Notamacropus eugenii: one gene and its partners. The protein of the gene in region 1 purifies or fractionates together with the protein of each later gene. This does not show direct contact. Links are inferred from orthologs where the notes say so. Each region holds a gene or a part of one and is shown in the gene's direction. Other genes may lie near its edges.

The links.
Region 2: the proteins of WDR5 (region 1) and MGA purify together in Homo sapiens (affinity purification with mass spectrometry; 5 studies listed by BioGRID and IntAct, counting the BioPlex papers as one, with this or other methods). This does not show direct contact. The link is inferred for Notamacropus eugenii from reciprocal best matches to the Homo sapiens genes WDR5 and MGA.
Region 3: the proteins of WDR5 (region 1) and ATN1 purify together in Homo sapiens (affinity purification with mass spectrometry; 4 studies listed by BioGRID and IntAct, counting the BioPlex papers as one, with this or other methods). This does not show direct contact. The link is inferred for Notamacropus eugenii from reciprocal best matches to the Homo sapiens genes WDR5 and ATN1.
Region 4: the proteins of WDR5 (region 1) and CBX3 purify together in Homo sapiens (affinity purification with mass spectrometry; 3 studies listed by BioGRID and IntAct, with this or other methods). This does not show direct contact. The link is inferred for Notamacropus eugenii from reciprocal best matches to the Homo sapiens genes WDR5 and CBX3.

What each region holds. Positions count from the first base shown.
Region 1 is NC_092872.1:486,764,810-486,772,308, forward strand, and holds the start of WDR5 (WD repeat-containing protein 5), read left to right. Parts: upstream 1-4,485; 5' UTR 4,486-4,614; intron 4,615-7,499.
Region 2 is NC_092878.1:27,734,858-27,742,854, forward strand, and holds the start of MGA (MAX gene-associated protein), read left to right. Parts: upstream 1-4,981; 5' UTR 4,982-5,270; intron 5,271-5,343; exon of another isoform or gene 5,344-5,455; intron 5,456-5,469; exon of another isoform or gene 5,470-5,550; intron 5,551-5,926; exon of another isoform or gene 5,927-6,073; intron 6,074-6,077; exon of another isoform or gene 6,078-6,151; intron 6,152-7,997. UniProt on the Homo sapiens protein: Functions as a dual-specificity transcription factor, regulating the expression of both MAX-network and T-box family target genes. Functions as a repressor or an activator.
Region 3 is NC_092874.1:195,317,951-195,325,244, forward strand, and holds the start of ATN1 (atrophin-1), read left to right. Parts: upstream 1-4,281; 5' UTR 4,282-4,422; intron 4,423-6,630; exon of another isoform or gene 6,631-6,692; intron 6,693-7,294. UniProt on the Homo sapiens protein: Transcriptional corepressor. Recruits NR2E1 to repress transcription. Promotes vascular smooth cell (VSMC) migration and orientation. Corepressor of MTG8 transcriptional repression.
Region 4 is NC_092874.1:17,305,260-17,313,100, forward strand, and holds the start of CBX3 (chromobox protein homolog 3), read left to right. Parts: upstream 1-4,839; 5' UTR 4,840-5,101; intron 5,102-5,384; exon of another isoform or gene 5,385-5,536; intron 5,537-6,362; 5' UTR 6,363-6,390; coding exon 6,391-6,414; intron 6,415-7,841. Other genes in the region: HNRNPA2B1 (heterogeneous nuclear ribonucleoproteins A2/B1), read right to left, coding at 256-336, 420-521, 684-894, 1,133-1,279, 1,387-1,497, 4,200-4,205.

The sequences.
Region 1 (7,499 bases):
CACATACTCTTTGGGGGCAGATCATATCCCCCACTTTGTAGACAACTTCTCACCCCCACCTCACATTCTTTATACCCAGGTCATCTTCTCACCATCTCTTGCCTCTAACACCTTGTCCTCCCTCCCCTCCCCTCCTTCTCCATTCTAGTTCTGAATCAAAATGAATACTGCCAATGCTACTGGAAAGGGTTCATCATTCTAACCCCCAATGATGCTATTCATCATCCCCACAATTTTTCAACCATAAAAATCCCTTTCTGGCCTCTACCCCCCTTCATGTGTTGTCTCCTATTAGAATGTAAACTCCTTGAACGCAGGAATTCTTGTATTTGTGTTCCCAGTGTTTAGCCCAGCACAGGGAAATCATGAACATTTAATAAATGCTTTTTAACTCTTTCATTAAACTACTTATTTCACAAGGTTGTAAAAGAAATGTGAAAGTACTTTGAAATGGTGGAGCATTATTTAAATATAAGACATTATTTTAAGGTCTCCAGTCTAACTAATTTCATATGCTTTGAACCTGAATGAGATTATTCAAGTAATATGTGGCTGTGCTGCTCTTGCTTATCAAGTTGTCAACTGAATCTCACATTCCAACTACATAGGAAAGTGTCACAAATTCTCCCTATGGATTGAGTAAAAATAGATGTGGAGGACTGAAGATATGTTATTAAGTGGGAATCCCAAAGGAGTCCATGCTTGCTTAGTAATATACCCCATATTGAGAAAGGGTATTTCTCAACATGGGGTATGTTCCAACTAACAGCCTAAGGATGTTGTGAGAGGGCTAAAATCTGTAGAAATACTACAGAGGAAGTAAGAGCTGGGAGGGGCCTTGAATTCCATCTAGTCCAATCCCCTTATTGTACAGAATAAATATATAAACTGGGGCATACATAAAGTGATGATATAAATTAAGCGACAAAGCCAGGATCAAAATCCACATTCCCAGCTGTGTTTTTTCCACTCTGCCATACTGCCTTTCCTAATTTAAATTTCAAATAATAACTTGGGAGAATATAAATTTCCAGAAATGCTCAGGAATACTCATTTGATGCTGTGATCAGAAGGGTTGTGTGGTTACCTAAAGTCAAATTCAACGTATCCAAAATAAAACTGATTATCTTTTCCCCTATCGCTAAATTTTGCCCCTCCTCCAAATTTCCATCTTCTTCTGAGGGTTCCACCATCTTTCCAGTCACCCAGATTTGTAATTTGAAGCAATAACTGACTCTTCCTTCTCTTTCATTCCCAACCCTTTAATATACAACCAGTTCCCAAGACTTGTAGATTCTACATCCATTAATGTCTCTCATATGCATCCTCTTCAATCTGGCACCGCACCTTAATTCAGGCCTCTTGATTAGAGTATTATAATAGCCTAATTGATCTCACTATATCCAGTCTCTCATGGTACAGTAGAAATAACTTTTTTGGGAAATCAGCCATATATTTAACTTGTTCCACCTTAGCCAAGTCATTTTACTTCTCTGGACCTCAGTTTCTTTATCTGAAAAATGAACAGGTAGATTAGATGATCTCTGAGGTTTCTCCTAGCTATAAACCTATGGTCTTTTCTAATCTATTGACCACATACCTACCAATCTAAACTTGCTAAGATACAGGTATGATGATGTCATTTCTCCACTCAAAAACTTTTAGTGGCTCCCCATTTTTTAAAGAGGACTATTCACTAAATGAGTGTTACCTTATTCTAAGTGAGTACCTGAAAAAGCCTTAGCCTAAAGAGGCCAAGGTCTCCCATTGCATCCTGGGTGGTCTCCAGTCATCCTGATGAATATCTGGTCACTGGATTCAGATGGCTATGGAGGAGAAGTGAGGCTGGTGACCTGCACAGCCCTCCCTCCCTCAAATCAAAGTCAAGTGCAAGTCATGTCATCATTCCCTTGATGCCATGGTCCTCTTTGAAAATGAAAGACAAACATAATAACCACCCCAGGATAAGATATGAACTGCTCAGACTGGTAATCAATGCCTTCTACAATCTGGCTCCCATCTACTTGTCCTGCTTTATTTCTTATTCCGTAATAAACTCTATGTTCTAGTCAAACTACCTAATCTCTGAACTTGGCATTTTATTTCTGACCTCAATGCCTTCTGACAGGCCAGTTCTTTTCTTCTCCCTTCCCACACCTCACAGTTGCAATAATAGTTATAATGATAGTATATATACATATGTATATAAATCCATTAATTTTTCCAAAGCAATTTCTTCACATCAACCCTATAAGTAGGAAGCATTATTACCCTAATTTTACAGATGAGGAAACTGAGGCACAGGAATTGTCTTGCCCAGGGTTTCAGAGCTGGAAACTTAAATTATCACCTCATTCCTAGTACAATGTTTTCTCCACTATATTATGAAGTTCACCCGTCCCTTATTTCTATTTTTCAGAAGATACATATATAGACGTACTTATACAAACAAATGTGTATGTATATATGCGTGCATATGTGTATGTGTATATATGTTCTAAATTTTTTACATTATTAACATTTAAAACTGCACTAAGACTCTTGGGATATTCTGAAAAAATGCACAAGTATATGAAATCACACATAACATACCTGTATATACGTGCCATTATGTATCTAATGTATAGGAAATTACAGACGTAGCTGTGCATTGTGAAAATGTATAGGAAATAGGCACAGAAAATTAAACATGTATGTGTATGTATATAATTCTACACCTAGATATTGTTGACCTGAAAACTTGGTTAAAGAAAAGGCAACAGGCTAAATGCATACATTTTATGATTTAATTAATTAATTAATCAATTCCCTATTAAAGACAACAGTAACATAATGCATTATGGAGCCAGAAATGTTCTGGCTACCTAGTGCAGAAATCTTCTGGCTTATATACATTTTGCTGTGAGAAAGGAACTCTCCTAGTTGAACAAATTATAAATTTAGTAAGACAAGACAATTAACAAAGTAATGTTGGTCAGGCCTTGTGATTCCAGGCTGGGTAAACATATGTCCCGGTGACAAGGAAGGAAATCCTACCACTAGTGAGTGGCAGGCTTCCTGCCCTAAACAGATAACTGACATAGGAAAGGGTAAACAAAGTTTAATAGAAATTACGACCTAAGATGTCTATATTTTCTTTACCATTAATATGCCATAACATAGTGTATGTCTATAGATAATAAGATATAAAGGAAAGTCCCATTATTCAAGATAGTGTCTTAGGTTAAAGGTCTCCTAAGGAATGTAGAGTCAGCCTTGGCTGGCTTTGTTGACATAGGAAGAGGCACCCTCTGAGTTTGCTTCAGAGAGAACAAAGAGATTATTCCAAAATTTTATATTAAACATTATCAATATACACACTCATATGTGTATACACACACACACACACAAATACAATTTCCCATGCTGTGTGTGTTTGTTGGGTCTCCTAAAAGTCTTAGTGAAGTTTTAAGGTTTCAGAATGTTGTGTGTGTTCGTCCTTCCTTGCTGGAGAAGACCATGCCACCAGAGACATGATGACATGACTTGCCCTTGACTTGTGTTGAGTGAGGGAGGGAGGGCTGTGAGGTCACCAGCCTCACCTCTCCTCCAGAGCCATGTGGATCCAGTGACAGATATTCCTCAGGAGGACTGGAGATGGCCCGGGATGCCCTGGGAGACCTGGGCCTATGCAGGCACTCACTTAGAGTGAAGGAATGCCCATTCAGTGAACAGGCCTCTTTAAGAAGGAATCAGGGCACGGCCCCTTTAATGAGGCAAAGAAAAAGAAGTACATCAGCTGGGAGGGAAACGGCAACAGTTACCACTGATAATCACTCTTAAGGCGGGAGGGTCTGGAAAACAGCCCTTATGGGGAGCCTGGGCCGGGGCCTGCTGGGTGCGATCTATGGGCGTCTGAGGGAAAGGAAAGAGAAGGTTTAGCTATGTAAACACTCTGGAAGGACCCAACTCTCGCTCCTCCCGCCCTCTGCCTCCTGGCCCCCTCCCCCCGCTCCCCAGGCCGTCCGTCCGTCTGTCTTTTTCTCGGTCTCTCTTTTCGCCCTTCCCCCTCTCTCGTCTGTGTCTCGGTGTCTCCGTCTCTCGTGGGTCCCTCTGTTCTCCCTCTCTGTCTGTCTGTCTCATCAGTCGCGTACCCCTCCTGCCCAGAGGATCTCTAAGGTCCCAACAAGTCCCTTCTCTCCGAACTTCGTTTTGCTCATCTGTAAAAGGAGGGGTTTGGATTAGGGGACGTCTTCCCCACTCTGCCATAAAGGGGCAGCGAGAAACGCCAGTAAATCCTTTAAGGAGTTTGAGTTACTGACAATTTCGGCCTTCGCGGCTTGCCGTAGCCCATCTCGGAAACAGCCTGGTATTGTGTCCTTACCCCCTCCTCCTCCCTCTCTCGGTCCTTCGCTCCGCCCCTGCGCTCGCCCCCGCCCTGTCGCCGCGCATGCGCCCGGGGAGCTGCCACTCCACATTACCCGCCTGGCGCCGGGAGGAGGAGCCTGCGCTGCCGCTGCCACCTCCACTTGGTCCCGGCGGGCGCCTGGTCGTCCGTCCTCGCCCGGGTCGGGCCGCGCTGCGCTCCTCATGAGCGGTGGCGGCTGTTGAGGCTTCGCCCCGAGCGGAGGTGAGGTAAGCGGGCGGAGGGCGGCGTCCGTCTGCGTGTCCGACCCCGGCCTGGAGCTGGGCCTGCGAGCCGGGAGGAACGGCCGCGCCCGGACCCCGGACCCCGGTCGCTTGCCAGAGCGCGGGGGACGGGCCTGCGCCGCCAGGGCCGCCTGCTCGCCAGCCCGGGGTGCGCCCCCTTTCTCCGAGGAGAATCTGGCCCCCTCCGGGCCCCCAGTGCCCCTCACCCGCATGCAGCCTGCGGGGCCCCCTCGCCCTGGTGTCCGCGTTCTCCTCACCTCCCCCCCTCCGGCTAACCACCGACGCTCTCTCCGTTTCCCCCACCCCATCATTCCTAAGCGTGGACCTCGTTTGTTCCCCATTCCTCCTCCCCAGAAGGACAGGCCCCAGTTCTACCCTGCCCTTCTTCAGCTGTCCCCCAGTCTTCCCAAAAATACCTTGGCAGCGACCAAGGCGGTGCCCCCCATTCCTCAGACTCCTTCCCCGTGCCTTCTTCAGGCTGGCCAAGCCCCAAAGCTGCAGTAGTTGCCTCTGCTCTTCCTCCCCTACTCCTCCAACACCTTTAGGAATAGCTTTCCATGAATTGGGAGTGTACCTCCAGTTACCTCCTTCCCCATTTCTCATAGCTGCACTAGCTCCTCGGGACTGCACTCAGCATCCACCTGCACCCCTTTTTCCAGGTCAGTAGGGACAGATCACTTTCACCTAATAATACAGTCACACTGTCCCCTACTCCTCTAAAAAGCCCAAAAAACTCCCCTTTGAAACACCTGGATTTGGATTCAGGATGCTTCATTATACAGTGAAATCCCCGTTTTTACCCTTTCTTTACCCCATCTAGAAACATCTGGGCTTGGACTCAGAAGGAATGCACTAGCTCTGTTACCTGTTTTATCTCTAGTGCACCCTAACCTCTAAGCAGCCAAACCCCAAGTGTTTTCCCTCATATCCCCTTATCACATATAAGAAAAATGGATCCTGAAACGACCAGGTGACGCTTAAGAGGGTGGCATTCCCTTTTTTTTCAATAACTACCCTTTCAGTTGTTCCTTTTCCCCCATTCCACTCTTTTACTCACACAGCCTGGCCTTAGCCTAACTCATTCTGCTTCCTCTCCCCTAAAAACTCTGAACCATTAGTTGTGAATAGAGAACAGGATTTCCTTTTCTTCAGTGATCCCCTCATGGTATCAGCCATGGCCCACTTCCCTGCCCCTCATCCCCTGACTCAAAACCCTTAATTTTGAGTCAGACTGTAGGATGGGCTTCTCCTATTTTCAGGGATCTCCGCCTTTCTAATTGCACATTTTCCTTGTCCAGCCAATCACACTTTTCTCTTAGCCACATCCTCGGAATGACCCCTTCTCTCCCTGGGGCTGGGGCTATATCTTTCACTGAAGGAGGTAGGTTTTTGTCTTTACCCAGAGCCTTTCACCTGAGCTTAGCTCATGCATTTGGGGGCAGAGGGAGAGCTCTTCTCATTTCTTCAGCCAGTAGTCCTCTGGTGTGTTCCTGGTCAGAGTTCCTGGCTTGGTCTTCTCCCTACTCAAATATTTCACTATTTTTTTGAAGTGGTTAGGCCATCTACTAAATGTTATTTTCTTGCTTTTCATTTCTTTGATGCCATTCTCTTTTCCTTTCCTTCTGATTTCAAAAGACTTAAACTTTGCCGGGTCCTGACCACCAGATCCCCTAAACCTTTCCTAGATATATACTAGGGGTTAGGGTTGCTAATTAAAACCTGGGATTTGTATGAGGGAAAAAAAACAGGCCTGATACCTGTGTGTTTTTTGGTCTGCCAGAAGACTTGTAAAGTGAGTGCTTATGATGTAATCCCTCTCTCCCACCTCCATCCTTCTCTTTTCAATGATTCTTTGGCCAATGTTAGTATTATTTATAATGACTTGTTTCCCCTTAGAGCAACCAGAAGTTCTGGTAAGACATTTTAAATTAAATTAGAATTCTCCCTAAATTAAATGAAGAAATTACAATGTCTAGTCTAGTGATTTTTAAGGTTTTCTGATGGAAAAAATAGGAAGTTTCAAAAATAGACATTTACCTCTTCTCATTCAACTGGTACGTGCTTGATGTAAGGCAAGTAATGGAAGTTAGTGTTGAGGCTACATCCAGAACTACTGATCTAAGAGGCAGGTGAAATAATTACTTACAGTACAGATTTTCAATACTTCCCATTGTCAAGCTGAAATCTAATTGAGCTGCAGTAGAGATTTTTTTTCATCTGCAGTATGAGTCTTGGTTGCAGAGTATCAGTGCAGCATTTCAAGCTTTGCTACAGAAGGCAAGGCAGTTGAAATTCCAACACAAAGCTGACTTTGGCTTGCACTTTTCGGCTCTGTTTCCTGGTTGTCTCATAAGCAAATGAGCTTCTCAGCTCACTAGGGAAACAGAAAACATCCTTATGCCTATAGTATGGAAACTGTAGCAGTCCATAACAACCATAAGGCTTCAAAAGTACCCTGGGCTTGTATTTTAGTGTATCTGCTTAATGTGTTCCACATGATTTGTGTCTTGGAATCTGGGTAACTTCTGAAACTGCTGTATCCTGCTGGGATTTAGTTTTCCTGTCAGTCTTATGAATTTAAAAACAAAACAAAAAATTCTTTAAAAATAATCTTTAAAGAAATAACTAGATCTTGGCTATTCCCAACAGCATTTTTAGGATTTTGAATAACAATGGAAAATGCCTCCATAATTTGGAATATTACTGTATATGGAATGCAAAGATAGTTCAAAGGTAGCTTGGTTATGAACAATAAACTAAAAGGTAGGAACCGGAAGTTTAGGATTACTATATTCTTTCTCTAAATTTATTTCAGTTATAAATTTATCCTCAACCTGAGAAGTTTTTGTGTGATAGGCTTCAGTATTATG
Region 2 (7,997 bases), on another chromosome or scaffold:
AATGCTTGTTGCCTCACCATAAGTGGTATCATTGAGTCAAAGGATACGTATAAGATAGTTCCAAATTGTTTTCCAGAATGGTTGGATCAAGTCATACCTCCACTAGCAATGCATCAATGTGCCTGTCTTCCCATAGCTTTTCTAACAATTGCAATTTTCCTTTTAGTCATCTTTGCTAATCTGATGGGCATGAGGTTGCATTTTTCTCATTAGTGATCTGGAACATTTTTTTCATGAGATAGCTGATCCTTGCATTTCTTTTTTGGAAAATTGCCTGTTTATGTTCTTTGACCACTTATCTAATGAGCTCTTATATACATTATATATTTGACTTTCCTGCCAGATTAGTATACTTGCTCTGATGCTGTTTCTTCTCACCCCACTTAGAGTGGGCTTGTCATTCAAGCTGGTTCAAGGGCAAAATTCATTCAGTTCCCTGAAGGTTCAAGGAGGGGAATGCTGGGGATTTCCTTCTTAACCAGCAGGTGTCTATCTGCAATATCCTTATCTCCTTGGCAACACAAGGAACACAATACATGTCCTTTTTGTTTTTGCCTTTCCATGTGAATCAGAGAAAGAAGTACCTTTTCCTTTTTTAAACCTAATGCTTCCACCTTTGTGTTAGATTCCAACCCATTCTGCTTCCTCTGGGATTTAGCAGTACCAGTTTTCTTCTCTAATAATAGCATTTATACAGTGGTTTTAACATTATGCCATTTGATCCTCACAACAACTCTATGAAGTAGGTGTTACATTTACCCCCATTTTCTACATGAGGAAACTGAATCTGAAAGAAGTTAAATGATTTGTCCAGTTAGACCATTAGTATCCGAGGTAGGATTTGCACTTGGGTCTTCCTAACTCCAAGTCTAGCACTCCATTCACTGTGTTACTTAGCTGCTGCTTCTTTTTCAAGTGTAAAGTTCTGCCCCTTTTTTACTTCAGTAAATGTTTACCTTGTAAGGAGCAAGTTATAGAGACAATTGAGTGGTAAAGGCTCTTCCCACTTCAGAGTGCATTTGTGCCTTATAGGGCCTAACTCCCTTTTAGAAGTGCCTGGATCATTTTACACTTTGTAAAGGATAATAAAATTTACGGTCAGATGGTAATGAGCTTGTGGTTCAAGGCTGGAACTGTGGGATTTAAATTTGCATTTGAAAACGCTTAGTGAGTGCACTGGCATAGCTCAAGCTTCACGTGCTTGCATTACTCTTGTTTTGTCACTGTTCAGCATTTCAGGCATTTCTGACTCTTCATGACCCTATCTGGCAAAGATACTGGAGTGGTTTGTCACTTTTTTCTCAAGCTCATTTTGCAGATGAGGAACTAAGACAAACAGGGTTAAGTGACTTGCCCAGGGTCACACAGCTAGTAAATATCTGAGACCACATCTGAATTCAGGAAGATGAGTCTTCCTGATTCCAAACCCAGTACTCAGTCCACTGTGCCACCTAGCTGCATGTTTACATTACACAGGGATCTGAGAAAGTTGCTCCAAGCTCTACCCTAGTAGAAAAGCAATTCTATTTTTGTGGAACCTATGCTGTCTCTACGTGAATATGTCTATATAGGAAAGTGTCTCATGTGTGGCATGTTGTGGGTAAGTTCTGCAAACAAATATTTATTAAATATTAAAAATCAATAGTGTAAGTTAGAGAGGGTAACCAATCCACACCAGCAAAGTCAAGTTTCCACATTAGGAATTCCTTATATTGATGAAACCACGTCTGGCCAAACAAAATGTATAAGGCACAGCGCTGTGGGAGATTCCTGCCCTCCAGGAGCTCAAACCAAAGAGGAAAGAGATGTACACGAACTTCAAATTCAAAAACAGTTTTAGTACCGATGATGTGAAAGTACTATGCAAGCTGCTGGGGATACAAAGAGATATAATACAGATCTCACTTTCATAGGAAGTATCATAGAGAAAAGACATATAAATGAGTAATAATGATATTAGGGAGAATTGATAAGTGCAAAGGAGTGGTGGTGGTGGCAGGCAAAGTATGAAGAAATCTGAGGAGGGAGAGATCACTTTCATCTATGTATACTCTATGTAGGTACACTCAGGGAAATCTTTATAGAAGACGTAAACATCTGAGTTGGGTCTGCAATGAAAGAAAGTACTTGAAAAGACAGAGGGGAGAATGTATGAAATAAATTTCAGGTAAAGGGGAGAGTGTGAAGGAAGGCACAGAGATGGAGGATACCAGAAGGAGAGAATGTGCCAGATAGCATTCCATTTTGGCTGGAATTTAGGATAGCCAAAGGGCAGGTAGGTGGCATAGAGGATAAAGTGCTGGGCCTGGAGTCAGGAAGACTCATCTTCCTGAGCTCAAATCCAGCCTCAGACACTTCCTAGCTGTGTGACCCTAGGTAAGTCACTTAACCCTATTTTGTCTCAGTTTCCTCATCTCTAAAATGAGCTGGAGAAGGAAATGGCAAGCCAAATAGCAAACCAAAATCCAGTATCTTTGTCAAGAAAACCTCAAATGGGATCACAGCGTTGGACATGACAGAAACTATAAAACCCTGGAGTGCCTGAATTGGAGGCTAAGGAGAGCAGAGTGACAAGACACTGGCAGAGCATTAGGAAGATTACTTGGTCAGTAGTGTGGATTAACTGAAGAGGTAATAGTCTAATTAAAAGACCAGTTAGGAGTCTATTATAATAGTTTAGGTCAGAGTCTGAACTAGAGTGGTTATATCATAACTGGAGAGATCAGATATCAGACATAGTGGTGAAGTAAAAATGATAGGATGTGGCAACTGACTGGATATGAAGAGTAAATGAGAGGGAAGAGAAGGAGGGCCATAAGGTTATGAGCCTGGAACACAGGGATGATGGTGTTGCCTTTGACAGAAATAGAATTTACAGGGGAAAGATTCAGTTTGGAACATGCTGAGTTTAAGGAATCAGTAGGATATCTAGGTATAGATATTCAGCAGGTAGTTGGAAATAAAAGATTGGAGTTCTAAGGTAAGTTTGGGTGGTAGAAACACAGATTTGGGATTTGTCTCCCTAGAGATCACTGAAGCAATAAGTGAATAAATGAGATTGCCAAGGGAGACAAGGCAAAGAAAGAAGAAAAGGTTAAGAACAGATCATTGGGAGACACTGACATTTGAGGGACAGGAGTGTGACCAAAGGAGGAGAACCCTCAAAGTACAATGTCACAGATACCAATGCCATTAGACTTCCTAATAAAAAAGTAATTAATAACCTTTAAGATCATTCAGTAAAATGGGGACAGAAGTCAGATAAAGTGCTAAGCAAGTGAGAAGCTGGGGAGACAGTGGAGGCAAGCAGTACAGACTAATTTTTCCACAAGTTTGACGAAGATGAGAGAATAATATCTTGGGAGGTCTAGTACGGTTAAGGGAAATTTTTTTTTTTTTAGGAGGAGGAGAGCAGATAAAAAACACAAGATAGAATAGGAAAATGGATATGAACAAGGTACAGAGAGCTGAAAGAAGGAATAGATGACTTCTGGCTGGTAGAATCAGGGAAGACTTCTTAGAAGAGGTAAAATTTGAGTGTACTTTTTAGGATGAGTATAATTAGATGTTGGGGAGAACATTTACCATGGTTTGCTAAAAGGAATGGAGGCAAGAAAACATTTTATATATTTGGAGGATGACAAGTAGACCAGATACATAAATTCCACAAAGAAGTGTAGTATGAAATTAATTCATTCAACAATAATGTATTAAGTGCCTACTATGTAGAATTCAAATTTAGTCCCTGCTCTTAAGGTAACTGCAAAATAGCTGGTATGTCAGGTAAACAGATATAAACAATACAAATTTAAATATAACTGCCTAAAGGCAAAAAATCCTATGAGCTCAGATAACTGAAAAGATCTTTTCTATTTGCAAAAGTTCAGGGATTTCTGAAATAGAACATTAACACGTGGAAATGGATTTGAAATAATACCAGAAGGGTAGGTTGGCACTAGACGGTAAAGATTATTTTGAAAGTGAAAAAGGTGAACTCAGGGAGAGCAGGTGAAGTCTGACCCACGTTCATCATCCCACATCCACTATAAACCGAAATCCACAACTATCTTTATTCCCTAAATGATCTCTCTCCCTTTTCTGCCCAATTAGGGGCTAGTTACTTGATGCCTCCATTTCAACTCTATATTTATGATCTGGGAGGCAGCCTGGCATCATGGCTTATCGAGTCTACCTTAGGGTTAGGACGATCAAGTTTCCACCCTGACACTTACGGGCTTTGTGGCTGCCCTCTTCTATCCCCTCCCCACTTCTCGTTGCTCCAGGACTCAAAGGATTACCTACATCATTTAAAACCCAGGTCCAGGGAGGGAGATCGCCGGCCCTAACTCGCTAACTGAGGTCCACAGTGTCGGAGAATATTTATGAAGCATCTCCTACGTTCAGGTTACGTGCCGGGGATGCACAGGTGAGCCCAGACCCTGCCCTCACATGGGCTACAATCCTACCAGGGCTAGGGGAGATGAGACAGGCACAAGGCAGTAGAAGCTGGCCAAGTCGCCCGGGATGACAGATGTACGGGGCTGTGCAGATCTTACGGTGATGCATAAATGCTAACTACTCCTTTTTAAGAGGTGAGGCAGGAGAGAGCCCGGGATTTCCTGAACCAGAAGTGTGGAATGTCCTAACCTAAGGCTTTCCCCCGTAACTTTGTTTCTCTTGAACATTCAAGTGGCTACTTTGTTTCATTTCACCTGCCCCGAAAGGACGAAGAGGACACTCTCCGTATCCCTCCAGGCACGCAGTGGCCACGCAGCAGCCGCCTGCTCCCGGGATGGACGCGAAGGGCCGGGAGGTGGCGGCCCCCAACACTGAGCTGCGGTTCGGGGTGCGGCCGGCCGCCTAACCTAGGTTTCCCCACACCCGGACTAGAGCTCTTCGCACTGGACCCCACGGTCTCCAAATAGCAAACGCTGCCCAGGACCGGGAGGCTGAGGAAGTCGACTTATCTAGAAGCCTGGAGACGCTAAGGAAGACCACTCTCCCAGCATGCCCTGCGGTCACCCCAGGGCGGAGTGACCTTCCCAACATGCAATCGGGTGACGACCCCCCTCCCCTCCTCACGCCCCGGCTTCCACCTTCGAGAGAGGAGAATGGAACTGGATCGCTAAGTGTGAACGCTGCCGCCTGGGCGCCCGTTCCTCTTTCCTAGGGCTTTCATGGGCGCGAAAGCCGGGCAGCCACGGCCTCAATGACCTGCCCTTTTTTGCACGAAGCCCCGGGTTTCGTAGCTGCTTCGCACCACAATGGAGGTGATGAGCCGCGGTGCAGGGGGGGAAAGGGAGGAGTCGGGGGGAGGGGAGGCAGGCCCGGAAGGGGCACGTGACCATTCCTGGCCTCCAATGACGGCCGCGGTAGGCTAGGCTGCGCGATGTTTCCCGGACCTGTGAGCGGGAGTGGCGCGTGGGTCTGGCTAACGATTGCTATTCCGTGACAGGTACGCGCAGGCGCACTGCGTTTCCCATACGTTACGTCGGGCCCCCACGCGCGCTTGTTAAAGACTGCTCCGGGCTCGAGGTGTTGAGTGTATATGTAGGTGAATTTTTGAGGGGGGGAATTGGGGGTTGGCGTCACGTGACAACAGTGGGCCAGTCAGAGACTGAGGAGGTGGCATCGCATTCCCGGAGGCCCGGGGTTCGATGTGCATTGGGGTGCAGAATGTTTCACTGCGGTTCGCTCTAACTGGGGCGGCCCGAAGGCTCGGTTGGGGGCGTGTGTGCCGCCCGCGGGCCCTCGGGGAGCTTGTACCCGGCAGATGGGAGCGGGCTCGCCGCGATCACGCATGGTTAGGTCTCCCACAAAATGGCCGCTCGGGCGGCTGGGGAGTTGCGGGGTCACGTGAGGAGGCTGGCAGCGCGTGCTGCCGGCGAGGGGTGGGGGTGGGGCCGGAAGGGCCTGTCCGTCACGTGGCCTCGTCTCCGCCGCAGGAGGGCGGCCTCGGCCAGGTGGCGCTCTCGGAGCTTCTGGCTGACGGAACTGACCGAGGTCGGGAAGGAAAGGAGATGTGCGTAGGAAGCGTGGATTAGCGGGTAGAGACAACTGAGTTTGGAAACAGGTAGAACCGGCTTTAAAACGGCCGTCCCGGACACTTGGGTCACTGTTTCTGAGCCTTACTTTGCCCATCTGTGAAATGGTGAGAACAGCACACTCGCAGGATTGTGTTTGAGAGGCCGGGTGTGCTTGTATATAAAAGAAAGGGGAGCCGTTATTAACTCTGAGTCAATGGCCGCTGCTTTCCAGAAGCCAGAAGGGAGGAGTGACTCTTATTCGTGCCAGAAATGAAGATGTGGCCCCTGGCTTCCTGTTACGTGTTCATATTATGGGGAAACCAGCCCCATTCCCTTTCCAAAAATGCCCCTCTCTGCCACCTCCTCCCCGAAACAAACACACTGGGCAGAAGGACTGGTTTAAGCTGTTCCTTCTCTTGTCGATGTTTTCCTCCTTTCATTTCTCCTCCTTTGAGATTTGGTAAAGAGCCCAGTGGAACCAGTTGTTAAAACTAACTGAATCATTGCTTCCTGATAGGAACAGTAAATTATTTATCGTGGTTTCTTCTGTCTTGACTCCAGTTGAAGGAGCTCTTGGTCCACATGCACCTTTGAAAGGACCACCCTGCTAGAAATTCTTGTCCCAAATGGGTGAAACTGAGCTTATTAGAAAGGGAAATGATTGGTGATGGAGCCAGGTGTCTTTTACATTATCACGAGGCTTTAAAGAAAGCCCTGTTGTCAGAAAGATGAATTTGCATTCTCCCACAGACACTTAGTAGATGTAATCAGGGGCCAGTGGAGGCCTCTGTTTCCTCATCTGTAAATTGGGAATAATGACAGCACCTACCGGTAATGGTTGTTATAAGGATCAAATGAGATAACGTGTAGAGCACTTTAAAATGCTATATAAATGCTAAATATTTAAAGAGTCTCTGAAAGAAACATGAAATTATCTGTAGATAATTTGGAAATCTACAGTATTCTGGCAGCATGTCAGGTGCCTTCTGAAATATGAAGTTCAAGAGGGATCTTGCTTTTAATTATTGATTATAAGCTCCCATTGCAAACTAAATACTCTCTTGAAAAGTTTTATAAAATATGTTTCAGATTTTGATGTACTATGTAACATGCTATGTACTTATTGAACATTTATTAATAGTGTCAGTGATTGAGTCTTCAAAGAATGCAAATAATCTTTGTTTAGTAAGAAGAACAGATAAGAATTGTGTGAAGTTTTTTAGTCCTTCGTTTTTGCGGAGATTGGCAGAGTAATGAACCTACTTATTGCAACCATTTCATGGTTTGAATATGCTTCCTAAGCAAATGAGATTTGAATTTTCAGTTTAATTCCTATTAATGGATGCCTGGCTTTTCTACTAGACACAGATCCTTCATGAAGGTTGTGTAGAGGAGTTGTCTTATGAGGCTACTAAGTAGTATATTGTATAAAGCACTGAACTTGGAGTTAGGAATGCCTGAGTTCAAATTCTGCTTCAATTGAAATAATATTTGTAAAAAATGCTTACTGGCACTGTGCCTGGCACAGAGTAGGTGCTATAAAAATTTATTGTTTCTTTCCTTTCGATATCTCTCACCTTCAGATGCTAGTTATGTGACCCTGAGCAAGTCACATAACCTTTCTCAGGTTCAGTTTCATCCTCTGTAAAATGGGGCTAATAATAGTGTCCACCTCATAAGGTTGTTTAGAAGTTGAGATAAGATAATATATGTAAAATGCTTTGCAAACCTTGAATTGATGTATAAATGCTAGTTATCATTTGCATATTTGAAGTGAGATCAGATCCTTCAGTAAGAAAACATAAAAGAAAATGTAAAGTTGGGTTTGGAGTGAGACAATAATGCCCAGAAGCTTTCTTTGATAGGTGGGAATGGGGGCAGAATATATTCTGGACAGCACTTTACCATGATTTTAACTGATGAATGTGGCACATGTACACCAATTGAGGTTTAGGGGTGCTGGGCCCCCAA
Region 3 (7,294 bases), on another chromosome or scaffold:
TGTGTATGTTGGATGTGTGTTGTGTGCGTTTGGCATGTTGCTCATGTTGGCACATGGGACAGGGCCTAATTTGAGATTATTTAAGTAATATTTATTTATTTCGTTTACGTATTTATTGGAACCCTAGGGGCCGAGCATGCCTTGTCACAGGGGGCTATTTTTCCATGTCTCATTCAGCTTTGTGCCACAGTGACCATGGGTAAGGAGGTATAGCAGGAGTGGGAAGGGTAAAAGGAAATGTCCCATGCTTTACCTCCTTTGTTTGGGGACCCCTCCCCTCAGCTAAAGATCCCTCCCTAACCCTAAATTCCCAGATTCTTCCCTAGACTTCCCCATCTTTCTCCCAGCTGTAGCAGAGCCATGCCTCTCCCTCCCCCCCACCATTGGCACCTACCGAGTCACCACCATCTCCATGCTGCCCACAATTACCACTGTCATTAAAGTCTGAATCACAGCCCCCCTGTGTCTGAGAAGTCTGTGCCCCACTATCATATATGAAGGGAGTGGGCTGGGGACTGGGAAACAGAGAATAACAGTGCCCCAAGATGAGAATCCCTAATTAGAGAGGGTGGGGGCAAGTGTGTGTGCCAGTGCAAATGTGTGCAAAGGGGGTGTGGGTGGGGGAAAGAAGACCAGCTTAGAATGACCAAGATGGGATCCAAGAGCTGGAATCCTGAAATGCCTATTCTTTCTCAATAATATACCAACTTCAGAGAGACACTTTGACCTGGATTGCCCCCTCACTGGGCTCCCATCCAAGAAGGACTACAGTTGACCCTGGGGGAAAGATCACATGGAGGACCATACAAGTCCCAGAGCCAGCTGTCCCTTGGAGAATGGATACCCTTTCACTCCCTGGGGCCTGGAAGGGGAGTGGGGTGTTGGATTGGGATATCTCTACATAAATCGGAATATAGGGGAGGCTGAACAGAGTCTGAGTCCCTTCACAAACAGGAGGGATGGATTTCCTAGGTCGGAGGATCAGAACACGCCCATCGACTACTTCCAATTTTCCTTCCTCATTTCTTAGAGAATACCACAAACAAAGGGGTCCCAAGAATAGGAGACCTTTTCGATTGAGAGCCCCTATAAAGAAGTTCCATTTTAAGAAGGCACCTCCCAGTCAAGGCCTAGTCTGGTGACCACTAGAGGGAGACAAGGTTCATGAAACACGAGCTCTGGGGACCAAGGCCTAGAGCGCTCAAGGGAATTCAGAGCTATTGTATAGTCTACACAGGTCTCCCCCATTATTATAGCTTGAGATTGCCTTTTCCCTCACCTAATATCAACCTGCTGCAGAATACGGGGATCTAATTCCTGGTGGACAGGGTCCCTCATTGGACCCCTTCCAGGACCCTCAGCCTGCCCTGGCAGGGTCACACACCCATCACCCGAATGTTAGGGACTTTGCTGATATCCTCTTTCATACTCTTTTCTCTACCCTTGTCTTAAATGGCTGCCCCTTCCTGTGACTCATTCATTCCTTGTTCACATCTTAGTTCTCTCTCTATTGCCCATTCCCCATCCATTTCTTAGTCACTCCTCTTCCTATTTCTTCGCCCTCCAACCCTGTCCCTTCTCTACAGGCCTTTCTGTTCCCTCTCTCTCCCAGGTATAAGGGAGGATTGGGTTACTAACTCTGCTCTGCCTGGGCCTCCCAGGCCCCTCTCTCTACTTTCCCTTTGTGTGGTTGCTTGGTGACTACTGGCTGAAGGGTGGGGGTGGAGAGAAGTGGTGTGAAGGATTGGGGTGGGGGGCTTGTGCAGCTGGTTGAGTGTGGAAGAGAGAAATAACCTAGTTTCTCTTCCACATCTACAACCTTAGATGGGTCTCCATCATGCCCCACCCCCACCCAACACACCCACCACCCAATGCCTTAGTTTCCCATTCTCAGCCTGGAGGAAGCAACCATTCTATTCTCCCCTGCCCCACCCCTTGGTGGTCAGTAGAGAAAACAGAGACTGGGGAGAAGGCTTGAAGCTGAGACTTGAAGTGAAGCCCAGTTTGAGGCAGAAAAATGCAGAATAAGGTGGGGAATGAGCGAAGTTGGGTGTATGCAATGGGAGGAGCCCTTCAACATGTGAGGTAGGAAGTAAGTACTGTCCAAGGGCATAGGATTGAAGGGGAATGTGATCAGATCCCAAAGGAGAGGGAGAAGAAAGGGGAAGAATGAGAGTGGACAGATAAAATTTGGGTGAGAGTACTTGATTTGGGACTGTTTCCTCTCTTGGCCATGTCTGTATCCCAGCAGTTTGGAATGCTGCCTGATGTTTTCAGTCCCACTCTCAGCATCATCCTTGCCCTCTAGACAAGCCTGGGGAAAGTGGAGAGGAGAGCAGCCTAGGGGTGGCGGTGGGGGGGTCCCAGGATGCACTGTCCTCCCCACCCTTGAAGGCAAAGCGGACTTGGATGGCCAGGAACTGACTTTCACCTCCGGCTGGGCCTGGTCCCGGACATTTTTCTCCTGACTTCCCACACCCCCCTCCCCCCCATCCAAGGAAGTGGAGGGGACTCCAAATCCACAAACTCCAGGTCCAGCTCTTCTTAATTGCCAGCTTCCTCCTCCTCCTCCTCCTCCTCCTCCTCCTCCACCCCTCCACTTTCCTCTGGCCTTCTCAGTCTCTGCAGCCAAAAAATCACCCAGTGTTTCTAGGTCCTTTGTACTGGGAGATGGGACAGCTGGGTGTGGGACGGTGAAGGGGACCTGGAGACCACGGTTGGGAGGAACTGAGGGTTTGGAATAGGAGAGTAGTGGTCATGGTGGGGGCAGGTGGGTTTTATACAAACTGGCAACAGGATAAGGGAGATGGAAAGGGTGGGTTTCCAAGGGGTTGAGTGTTGGGGGAAGAAAGGGGAATATTTCCAGGACTAGTAAAGAGAAGGGGGGCAGTGTTGGGAGGGGCAGAACAGTGGTTGGAGAGTGCCACAGACATTTCTGGGACACGAAAATGGGTTTAGGAGTTTGGTTCAAAGTGCGGCTTATCTTCCACTTTTCCTCCCCACCCCCACCCCATTTCTGTCCTTCCTTGTGGCCTGAATGACCTTTGCTGTGGACAGGGTAAGACAGGCCACAGAAAGGGGAGAGGCTAAAAGAGAGTGGCCAGACCCCAAGGGTGACCCAGCTGGTCTCCCTGCCTCCCCCTACAATCTCTACCTCTCTTTCAGCATCCCCCTCCCAATAACCTCCTACTTCCCCCATTTCGTCCCCAGCTCTTTAATTTCCTTGCCGTGCCCCCACTTCCCATCACTTCACCTGTACTGCCCCATCTTCCTGCAGACCCCCTTGGCTCCCCAGCACATTCCCATTAGCCTTCCTTTCTCCCCTTTCCCCCAGCCTCTCCCTAGGATTCCCATCTGGCCCGTCTTTCCCTCTCGGACCCTCCTCCTTCGTTCTCTTCTGTCTCCCCCACAGATTTCCCTCAGTCCCCCAAGTTTATCCCATCGCCGCCTTTCCCCCACATCGCCTGACCCCCCAAACTTCTCCCCCACCCCCTCCCCGTCTGAACTCTCGATCTCGTCTCTTCCCCACATACCCCCTCACCCCGAACTCCTCCCACCCCCCAATTCCGCCCCCACTCCCCGAACTCCTCCCACACCCCCGTCTCCCTCTCACACACCTCATCGCCCACCGAACTCCTCTCATACTCTCCGTCCTCCCCAGATTTCCCCTGCGATCCCCCGACTCACTCCGTCGCCGCCCCCCGAACTCCTCCCACGGCTCCCCCTGCTCACATTCCATCACCCCCAGACTCCCTGCAGGCCCCCCTCGCCTTTCTCTCCGCACCTCGCTCCTTCCCGCTCCCCCTCCCTCGCGCCCCCTCTCCCCTCCTTCCCTCCTCTCTCCCTCCTTCTCCTTCCCTTCCTCCCTTCTCCCATCCCCCTCTCTCTTGCTCCCTCCCTTCCCCTCCTCGTCCCTTCGCCTCCCGCTTTCCTGTGCGAGTCTCCGGACGCGCGGCGGAGCCCGCCCGCAGCCCGCGCCGGCCGGGGGCCTCTCTCCGGGACACGCTTCTGGGGGGGCTGGGGAGCACGATCGGATCCGAGGGAGGGCCCGGGAGGGGGGCCGCGATCGGCCCAGAAGAGGGGCGGTAGAGCGGAGGGCGGAGGGGAGGAGGAGGAGGAGGAGGGGGAGGAGGAGGGCTCGGGCTCGGAGGGGGCCGGGACCCCGGGCCCGGGAAGGCAGCGGTGTCACCGGCGGTGGGCCCCGGGAGGGGCCGGGGGAGGGCGGCCGCAGGGCGGGGGGCTTGCGAGGGCGATCGAGCGGCCCGGGGGGGATGGGGGCCGCCCCCGCGGGGCCCCGAAGCCGCCGCCGCCGCCGCGACTGAATCCGGGGCGGGGAAAGAGGGGCCCGGGGAGCCGCCGCCGCCGCCCCCCGGAGCCCTGAGCGCCGCCCCAGAGGAGCCTGCCCTGCGGAGCCAGCACCCGGTAAGATCTGCCGTAGCCCGAGTCCCTAGATCCCCGGCCCAGGGCCCGCTGCCCCCCCTCCCCCGCCACCCCACCCTTGCTCCCCGCACACCCCACCCCCAGTCGCCGCCGCCGGCGTCTCCTCCATTTGTTATTTTCTTCGATTAAGGTTCTCCCCACTTTCCTCCCCCCACCCCCGCCCATTGCAGGCACTGCCCGCCCGGAGCCTGGGGGCGGGGGGGGCACAGAGGTTGTGGGGTCCCCAATTGGGGGGTGGGGCAACACAAGCTGAGGGGGAGAATAGGAGAGGTGAAAGTGAAGAAAGCTTGGAAATGTCGGGGCTACGGGAAAGGTGGGAGAACCTTGGTGGGGAGACGGGGTCCAGAAGGGAGGTGGGGTGCAGGGGAGAACGGGGAACGTACGGAGGAGGAACAGAAGGGAGAAGCAGGGAAAAAAGAGTCCGTAGGGTGCAGGGGTGAAGGAGCGGGGGTGGGGAGAAGGGATGGCAGTGGTGTACGGGGAGGTTGGCACAGGAAGGTCTGAGGACCCCCAGAACGATTTTTCAGGCACGTAGGTGTAGGTAGCAAATGGGGAGGGGGTGTGGTAGATGGGAAGATGAGAGGTAAAAGAGAGCCTAGATAGAGGATAAAATAAGAAACGGAGTTGGAAGCCTGTAAAAGCTGAAGAAAATAAGAGATTGGAAAGGAGGCAACCAAAGGGTCTCTCTGAGGTCAGGCGTTTCTGGGGCCCCTGCACGGCCTTCATCCTCAGTCTTCTTTTGAGCAGAAAGTCATCCGGACCCCTATTCTCTCTATTCCAAACACATCTACTTCTAAGTAGAGGGCATCGAGATGTAGGGACCGGGTCCCTCAAACTGATCAGTAAAGTCAGGAGCAAAGAGGGGAATGTCTGGGGTGTGCAGAAGGGACTTAATAGAGAAAGGAAAGCAGGTAGGCAGTGGGAGGACTCAGTCTAGTAGAGCAGTTCAAGAAAATTGGGTCTTCAGGTATGCAACCTGTTCTTCTCAGCCCCCAGTTCCTCACAGTGCCATCCTGTGCCCACCAGCCATGGTGCAGAGCTTCTTCTATACCACAGCCTTTAGCTCTAAAAGACCCTTAAGGGATTCCTTCCTAATAAGGCCAGACACCTTATAAACCTCTTTCCCTGGAAGGCAGGAGTTAGGGGTGGGCCCAGTGACTTCTTGTTTATGGCAGCTCTGGGAGTATTGGCAGCTAGGCTCCTAGATGAACCCCTGGGGCCTGCTCTCAGTGGGACTCCAGTGTGGAGTTTCCATGGCAGTGGTGCCTCTAGCTGAGTTTCTCACTTGGTCCAATGGGGTGGTCATGTTTGTGGGAGAGATTTGGTTGGACAACTGTTGGTGGCTTTATCCTTTAGGGTTCTATATTCCCACAAACACCTACCAAGTAAGGCTAGTCCAATTTCATTCTGGCTGTTGGGTTGGGCATCTCCATCTTGGGTAAGGACTCCACAGGAAGCATCATGTTCTTCTGAATCAGCTTTCTCCAGCCTTCAGATGGTCCCTGCCCGCAGTAAAAGTGGAAAATTTACATGGACATTCACCATGTTCCTTCTCTAAAGTCCAGTGGGTTGAGAACAGATATGCTTTTGTTGAAGTCACTTTTACCGTTTTTCTATCGCTTCAGACTTCCTCAACTGGTTCCACAGCTATCCTTCCATTTTCTCATATACTAACTCTCCCTTATCCCAAATATTTCTCTACCTCTTTTCAGGCCAATTCCATAATGATTTCTTCCCTTAGTAGTCCTTCTACCTGCCATCTCATTGACTCTATACTCATGGCCTCACTCTTTTTTCCACCTTTGCCAGATGAGAATATCCCTTGGGAGAGCAACAGGTAGTGATTTGGTAGGGTTGTTTGTAGGTGAAAAAGCCCTGGCCAACATTTGGTCTTTGAATAGAAGTCACGTTGTCATTGGAAGGTTGTTCCAATGTTGGTTTAAGTTATCACTCCTGTACAGCCTGGCAGAGCAACAGAATGTAGACTAAGGGTCCTTAAACTCTTCACATCAGGCTCTCCTAGTACCTAGCCAAGTACCTGGCTTGATTCTATATTCTTGATCCCCTATCCTCATTGATTCCTCAGGTTTTCCTGTTCCCCTTTGCCTTTGCTCATTTCTCTCTCTATGCTGCCCCCTCTCTGGCCTTACTCCTTTGCCCTCTGAATGTCCCTCTTCTCTCTCTGCACAGGTGACTAACTGCTAGGGAAGAGAAGGTGGCTCTACTATTTGGTGCTTTAAAAAAAGAGGCTCGTATGTATTGAACACTCCCTACCAGTTATTATCCAACCAAAGAACCTTTTGGGTACCCGAGTCAGGCTGTAATGTTTCTCTTCGGTGACTTATTTTCCTCTTCAAGGCTGCTTAGTATTAACTCACTTTCACTTGATTTTATTTGTATAAACATATCAGGGATGAGGACACACACTGGTGCTACCTCTACCTAATTTGGAGATTCAGGGAATAAGTTGTGATAGTAGTAGTAGGTCATGAACAAAAAGTACCAACAGAGATGGGATCATCTAGAGAGTGGAGCTGACATTTGGGAAGGACAAGATGGACACATTCATCTTTGTAGTGTTTTTGGTATGAAATTTCCCTTCCCCCACCTTGTTGCATCTGATTTATATTTTCTAGGTTGATACCTAGTATTTTGAAAATCATATCAAACATCTACATATTAATTGGCAAGAGTACAGGTGAGGAAGGTCTCATCTAGTGGTCAAAGTAGCAGATGATGGTGTTATGTGACTTTGGGCAAGTCATGAATTCTTCTTAGGCCTCTTTCCCCATTTGTAAATGAGATGAATCATCTCCATTCCTCCCTGTCTTAGAAGGATAGAATGAAAAACCAT
Region 4 (7,841 bases), on another chromosome or scaffold:
TGAAGGCCATGGGTAATTACACACTTGGTGTGTAATCACTGGTTATGTCCAGCCATCATTTCAAATTATTATTAAGCATGCAAATGGTGACAAGCACACCATTTAAAAGAAAATTTGTTTCTTCAAAGTACTGAGAATGAGATGGTAAACTTTTATTAGACTGGCAAGACTTAAGTCAAATAAATTCTAAGAATTATTTGTATTCGATAGTTGAGCCTGTTTGTATCTCAACTATTATGCTGCATTTGGACTTACCAGATCCCCCTCTAAAATTGCTTCCTGGGCCTGGTCCAAAATTTCCGCCACCACCACGGGAATCCCCAAAACCAAAGTTTCCTGCAAACAATCACTCACATTAGCACCAAGCTTCCCTCACCCGGAATAAGGCAGTTAGTCTGATGAGAAGAGAACCACATTACCTCCTCTTCCACTCCTAGAACTTTGCACTTCCTGCATCTCTTGTCTAGATAAAGCTTTTCTGACTTCTGCGTTATGGCCATTGATGGTATGGTATTTTTGCACTGAAACACAAGTTCAGAATTTGAGAATCAACCAGCATCCTGCATTTTTAAATCTTTTTTTTTTTTAATTTGGAGAAAAGTTCAATGCTTTAAAAGAAAAAGGGCAACAAAAAAGTTTTTCCAAAGACACTACATAGAAAACAAAAGTTGTAATTTACTTACATACAATTTTATCCACAGGATCATGGTCATCAAATGTAACAAAACCAAAGCCCCTTTTTTTACCAGACTGTCTATCTGTAATTATTTCAATAGTATCGATTTTCCCATATTCCTCAAAGTAATCTCTAAGGTGATGTTCCTCAGTGTCTTCTTTAATTCCACCAACAAACAGTTTCTTCACAGTAACATGAGCACCAGGTTTTCCAGATTCCTAGGACACAAGGATATTAATACAAAATGTTACTTGCAAACTAAACCATACATTTCACCTAAGGAAAATGTGTTTCCTGCTATGAAACCAAATGGTCAAAGAGAGCAAAAAAAAAAAAAAAAAAAGGCTGGGAGAGAAAAGCTGGTCAAAATTTTAAACTCACAGCCTCTGGAAAGACTTGGATCAAGTTCACCATTGCAGAACAATTAGACCCTCAGTCAAGTTCCTTTCTGCTCACCTCTCTGGCTACTGCTCTTTTCGGCTCCACCACTCTTCCATCAATTGAATGAGGTCTTGCAGACATAGCTGCATCCACTTCAGCCATGGATGAAAATGTTACAAAACCAAATCCCCTTGATCTTTTGCTTGCAGGATCCCTCATAACCTATAAAACAGAAAACTGAATCTGTTACCCAATAAATACAATGTAACAGCATTTACGTCAAAGCATTTTTTAAGTTTGCATTGTCAAGAAGTTCAAAGACAATTTACCACACAGTCTGTGAGTTTCCCCCATTGTTCATAGTAGTTTCTCAGACTTTCTTCCGTGGTTTCAAAGCTCAGGCCTCCAATAAACAGTTTACGGAACTGTTCCTTTTCTCTCTGCAAACAAAAATAGGAGCACCGAGATTTAGTCACTTTTGCTGGTACTTTATGGAGCTCCTAAATGCTTATTTTCACTTAAGTTTTCTGAATTCTTTATAAATATAAGCCATCTATAGTTAGAGTGATCATCAAAAGGTTTCTGTGTTTCTGGAGTGTTCAAACCAGAGCCAGTGTGGTAAACTTCAGAGCTGAAGATTAATTTCCATCTCCTGTGTGCCCTCTAGCGATGGTTCCAATAAATCTCAAGACAGGCCAAGTATGTGCCATAAATGAACTGAAAGGGACACTTCTTTCATTACTCAAAGTTGTCCACCAGTTTAGGAGGAAAAAAATAACTTTTAAAAATTTTTCACCATTGTTTATTAGTAAAAACTAATGGCCTCATAACCTGAAATATTTTATTTAGTTCACATGTTTATTATGCGGAATAAAAAACTTAATAGCTGAAAACAGTTTCCACAAATTACACAGGGAGCTAGCACTTCCAAATTTTATAGTTAATACACTCCCAAAAATTTAAGTCAGAGGAGCCCTAATACACACCTTGAACTTATAGAATTCTTACAGCTTTCCAAAACAAATCATCTCATTTGATACTAATTAAACCACTCCACCAAGTTATTAGCACTATTTTACAGATGAAGAAATTGATGCAGATCACACATCTAAGTGGCAGAAGGGATTAAAAATAATTTTAAGATGACTACTGTAATTCAGGTGAACCGGAAGTGTAATCCTGCTCTAGTAACTGATGATCCTATGATCATCGTTGTGTACTGAAAACACACATTTCACTAAAGTTTAGAAGTGATTTTTGCATTTTCAAGTTAAGAGTCAAACTGCAGACAGCCTTAAAGTCAATTATAAAAACATGTTTCAACTACAATCCTCAAAGACAAATAAGGATAATAGGAGTACTGCTTCCCAAGTCTCAAAAGAGATTTAGATAATTAAAAAAAATTCAGCGTCAAGTACTTGTGGAAATACTAATTCCTAACAAACTTCCTTGAAACTATTCAGATGTATCCCTCATTCAAGTTTTCAATAATCAAAGCTGTAAATTGCAACAAAGTGAATCACAATTTCAAGTAGTGTTGAGACTTAGAACATAAAGGGTTTTTTGGAAAAGTTCATCTTTTAAAAAATAAGGTTCTCTAGGTTTATTGAGCCTGAATTCTGAAGATACCACAAATATCGGTATTTAGTTGTTACAGCTTCTTTTCCAAGTTGTAAGATTCCCAGTTCTCACTCGTTTCTATTCTGGGCTGCAAACCTCTTTAAAATTAGATTCAAGTACGTCTAAGACTGTGATGCTTCAAATCCTTAAGTCTTTACGGAAGGCAAAGAACAGCCAGAACCTGCTCAGACTCCAAGGAAGACTGCCTGCCCGCCATGCTCAGGGCATGGCCACGTGGTGTCTACAGAAGAAAGCGCACGACATGGAGAGGCCCGTTTCGCCTCCTTTTCTGTGGTGACCTTGGCCGGCGAGCTCTCCTGTGGTTTGTGAAAGCTCAGCCTTGGGGTCAGCGGGGTGCACTCGGTGAAGTGTCTCGCAACAGCAACATCCCTGACCCAAACTCTAACCCTCGATCCCGCAGCGCGAGCCACCGCCAGGCCTAAACGGGGGCCCCGCGTCCGCTCGGCCTCCCCCGAGCAGCGCTGCTCTCGGGGCGACGCCGCTAAGTCTAGCCCTGAAGGTAGAACGATCCTGTTCCTTTTAAGGGACTTCCATGATCCCCCCCAAGCCCGCAGACAAAGGGCGCAGCCGCGTCGGGACACCGGCCGTTTGGCTGGGCGGAGGCTGGAACTTTATCACTCAATTTCCTCCGACGCCCCGCTGGGCCGGCCCCGGATTCCATTAATTAGGCCTCGGGGAGAACCTTCCCCCGCAGCGCCTTGGGCCTCCCGGCCCCCAACAGCGGCAGGCGCACGCGTGGTCCCGGGGGAGCACGCGGCGCCGCTCCCCTCCCCCCCCCCCCCCCCGAGCCGCGGGAGGCCGCCCCACCCCCCCTTTGTACAGGGCCGAGCACGTGGTCCCGCGCGGGAGGGAGGCCGGGGGAGGGGGGATGGGCACGGATGGCGCAGCAGCTTTTCTGGCCGCCCTCCCCTCCCCCCGGGCCCGGCCTCGGCCCGGCCGCCCCCCGCTCACGCCGAGGCCTCCGGGGGCGCCCTCCCCGCCGGCTCCGGGGCCCAGGGCGTCACTTCTCGCAGCCAAGGTCGGCGCGGCCTCAGGGACGGGTGGGCGAGCGGGGGTCCGGGGCGACTGGCCCGAACCGAGACGGGCCGAGACCGCGCGACCCGAGGGGGCCTGACCACGGCGGCCGGGCCGGACCAAGACCAGGGATCGGGGCGGCGGGGCGGGAGACCGGGCTCGGAAAGATGGCGGCGCTGGGCGCGGCGTCGGGAGCGCGCCGCGGGGCCGCGCCTCTCCCACGACTTTGCCGCCGTCCAAACGGCCGGGCCCAGCGCGGGAAGCTGGGCCGGCCCAGGCGGGCTGAAGGCAGCCTCGGGCTCGGCGGGGCCTCTCGGGCGGCCTGGGCCGGGGGGGGGGAGGGGGTCACCCTGGGTCCGGCCGCCCCTCCCCCATCTCCCCGCCGCGCGTAGGCTAATGGCGCCGGCGGCCCGGGGCGGGGGGGGGGGGGTAGCCGGGCCATCCTCCCCCTCGAACCTCCCAGCGCCCCGGCCGGGCCCCGACTCACCTCCATGGCGGCGTCGGTCGCCTCAGGCCGGGGCCCCGCAGCCGAGCGAGATGAGAAGGATCTCCGCGGACGGGCGCGAACCGGACTCGTCCTGACGCCGGTGGGGGGGGCTGCCGTGCCGCGGCCAAGAAAAGCGCACCGCCGCCGGCTGCTGGGCGCAGGGTCCGAGGCGGGGAGCGAGGGCGGCCGGAGAGCACAGCGACGAGCCGGAGGAGCGGGCGGAGGCGGCGGCTCTGGCGGCGGCGGCTGCTGCGACTGCTGCTGTCGCTCGCGCTGCTGCCGCTTTTCTAGAACCTTCCCTCCGACCAACGCGTCTTCCCCTCCGCCTACGTCAGTGCGGCTGCGCAGACGCACTAACGGCCGCCAACGGCGCGGCCGGGCTGCGCTCGCCTTACGCCAACGGCGCACCCCGCCCCCGCAGGGCGGTGCCTGGCGCCATTGGCGTCCACGCGGCCTGGGGCCGGGCGCAGAGCGCGAGGAGGCGTAGAGGGCGTCTCAGAATTGCGCACGGCCCCCGCCTCGGCGCAGGGCGGGGGAGAAACGGTCGCGCAGTTTGAAATTTACACAGCCCCCGCCCCGCCCCCGCCCCGGGGCCCCGACGGGCTCCGTCCGCCCCCTCCCCGGCTCCGCCCCCGCCCCCCGTTCTGGGGCCTCGACTCTGGTCGGGCCCGCCCGAAGGGGCCCCGACTCCGCCGCCCCGTTCTTCCCGCGGCCCCCTCCCCCACCAGATGTCGACCCCGCCCCCACCCGTAGGGAGGAAGTCCTAGCGGGCCCGCGTTTTGGCGCCAGCCCTGACGCCGGCGTGGGGAGTCCCCGCCCAGCCCGACCCTGCGCGGCCGCCGGGGCTTCCGCAACCGCCCTCCGCCCCCTGGCCCCCACCCCGGGGACCGTCGCCTGCGACGGTAAGTGCAGGCGCCGCCGCCCCCCCCCCCCGCCCTCGGCGCTGCACGGCCCGGAGGCGGGGGCCGAACGCCCTTCCCGCCCCTCCCCCCGTCAGTTCCCGCCGCCCGGAGCCCCGCCCCTGACGTCATCGCCCCGCCCCGGCCGGCCGTAGGGCTCCACCTTCGGGCCCCCCCTCCCCTCCGTGCTCAGCAGCGACGGCAGCGGCAGCCCCAGCAGCGGCAGCGGTAGCAGCAGCGGTAGCAGCGGCGGCCCGCGCAGCCCAGCCCGGCCCGGCCCAGCCCCGCGCAGCCGCCCGCCCGCCGCGGCCCCGGGGCCCGTCTCGCCCGCTCGCTCGGAGGCAGCAGCAAGCAGCGGCGGCCGCGGGCAGGGCTCGCTCGCACGCACGCAGGCGGGCGGCGGCAGCAGCAGCGGCCTGAACCCGGAGCGGCGGTGAAGTCGGTGCCTTTCTTGCTCTCCCCTTCCCTTTCCCCCTCCCGGGGCCCCGGGCCGGGCAGGGGGCGCCCACGTCGGGGTTGGACGGGCGCGCCGGGCGGGGTACGCGGCGGCCACGGGGTCCTCCTCCCCCCCGGACTCCCCGCGGGCCCGTCCCGTTAGCTCTGGCAGAGGTCGGCGCATCCGGCGCCAGGCCCGGCTCCCCGCGCGGTGCGGGCCTTTGTTCCCGCCCCCGCTGGGGTCCTTGAGGCGGGCGAGGGGGGTTAGGGAGCGGTCCGGGAGGGGCCTGGGGGGCGGCTGATGGTCGGCACAGCAGCGCGGCCTGGCCTTGGACCGCGGCCTCCCTTTGGCCTTGGCCTCGGGAGCGTGGGCAGGGGGCGGCCGGGCGGCCACGTGAAGGCTCCGGCTTCAGGGTGGTCGGGGGAGCTCCGGGGTCTGCAGGCTATCTGCCAGATCTCCAGTGTGGGGCTGGGGGGGTTCGCTTGGGAGTACTGCTGCCCGCTTTCCCCGACAACTGCCCCGGGGGCTCCTTGCCCCGCAGTCTGGGGAGCCGCGGGCTTTGTGTGTGCCCCCGCCCCGCCCCCTCCCCACGAAGGCTGGCGAGTGCTCGGGCTTAGGTGAGCATGCTGATGGAGGCTTAGGTATGTGCCACCCCGAACGTGCGCAGGAGCTCCGAGGGGGCTTCTCCACTGGACTTTGTCCAAACTCGCTTGTGTCGAGAGAGAGATGTGTGCTGCATACGTGGGGGTTGGAATCAGGACCGAACTTGTATTCAACTAGCTTTTTCTCTCATGTAAACTTCCTTTTAACTGTCATGCATTTTTCTAGTAAAAGCTCTTCAAGTCTGCAATAAAAAATGGCCTCCAATAAAACTACATTGGTAAGTTAATAAGCACCTAAAATATGTAAGGATTAACCCAAGTCTTCCCCCCCCTCCCAAAAAACAATTATAACTTTGCATCTCTGTGGTTCTAAACACACATCCAACTTTAGCCAAGAATTTGGGCCCCATCCAGGTCAGGAGAGAAGTCGCGAAAGTGACTTAGTAAAGTCAGATACAGTGAGAAACTCATCTCCAACACACAAGGGGTTTTTGTAGGACAGGAAAGGGAGGTTTGATGAAGCTACGTAAAGCAGCAGTTACATAGTATCTTCTGAGAAAATAACAGGGTTTCTTTAGCATCCTTTCTTCTTTCTGTATCCATCGCATAGGATGCAGCCAACCTGAGAGGGCCTATGGAATTCCTCGGAGCCATTTGATTGGCTGTGACTTTAAAGTTGAAGTTATCATGCATTGGGGGTTTGGGGGTTGTTGCTCTAGGAATGTTTAATTTAAAAGCTAGGTTATTCTTAAAGTTAATCTGGATAAAAGTTACTCTTTGAACCACTTTTTCTTTCTTTAACTTTGTGAGAGGCAGGGAGACTCTAAACTGCTACGTCTGTCCAAGTTCCATCAGCCAGGTTGTAATTTTCTTAGAAAGTAAGTTTTGGGAACCAGGGAAGGACAGAGCTCCAATCCTTGTGCATATTTCAAAACAGCCTTTTCTGCCAACTCCAGTATGTGTATCTGGCCATTTCATGATGCCTCCTACCTTGATTTCTACACTAAAATGTGCATAAAGTTGCATCTGCTTAGACCCATTAGATTTAATGCTGGCTGAGAGCAACTCTTCATTAAGAACATTCATTGAAAATTCACATGAAAATCACGAAATTCAAAGTTATGGTTCCCATTGTATCGAGTTCTGTATTGTTTTAGTGATTTTTTTTAGGCCTAAAAGGTGAGTGTTCACAGAGCTGAAGCCACAGTGTCTGTATGTACTTTGTATACAGTCTTTGGATTTCCCAGTAAAGAAAAGAGAGAAAATTGGTAATGAGTCAACGTGATGTTAGATTAAGCCAAATGCCATGGAGAATAAGTTGATAGCTGAAATACTAAGATTGTCTGGTGAGATTCCCACGCGCTTGAGTGTCATCTATAGTGTTAAGGTGACTTTGGGAAGATGTCCTGATGATGTCCTCGCTTCTTTCCTTCAATTTTTCCTAGATTTCATCAGCCAAATCTCCATGTTTTTATGAGTTTGCATTTACTGCATTCTGTGGCCAAAGAAACCCAAATGAAGGGAAGGGTTAACTGTCCATGAGATGGAGGATGGAGGGCTCTGATGATGAAGGGATGAGCAGGAGGAGTCTGAAAAGGTTCCCTTGCTGCCACCTCAGTAAATAGCTCTTGAGCCAGGAAAGTGCTGTGCGCACTGGTTTCCAAAACTTTGCATGCATCTGACCTTCTTTGTATCTAAGTGCACA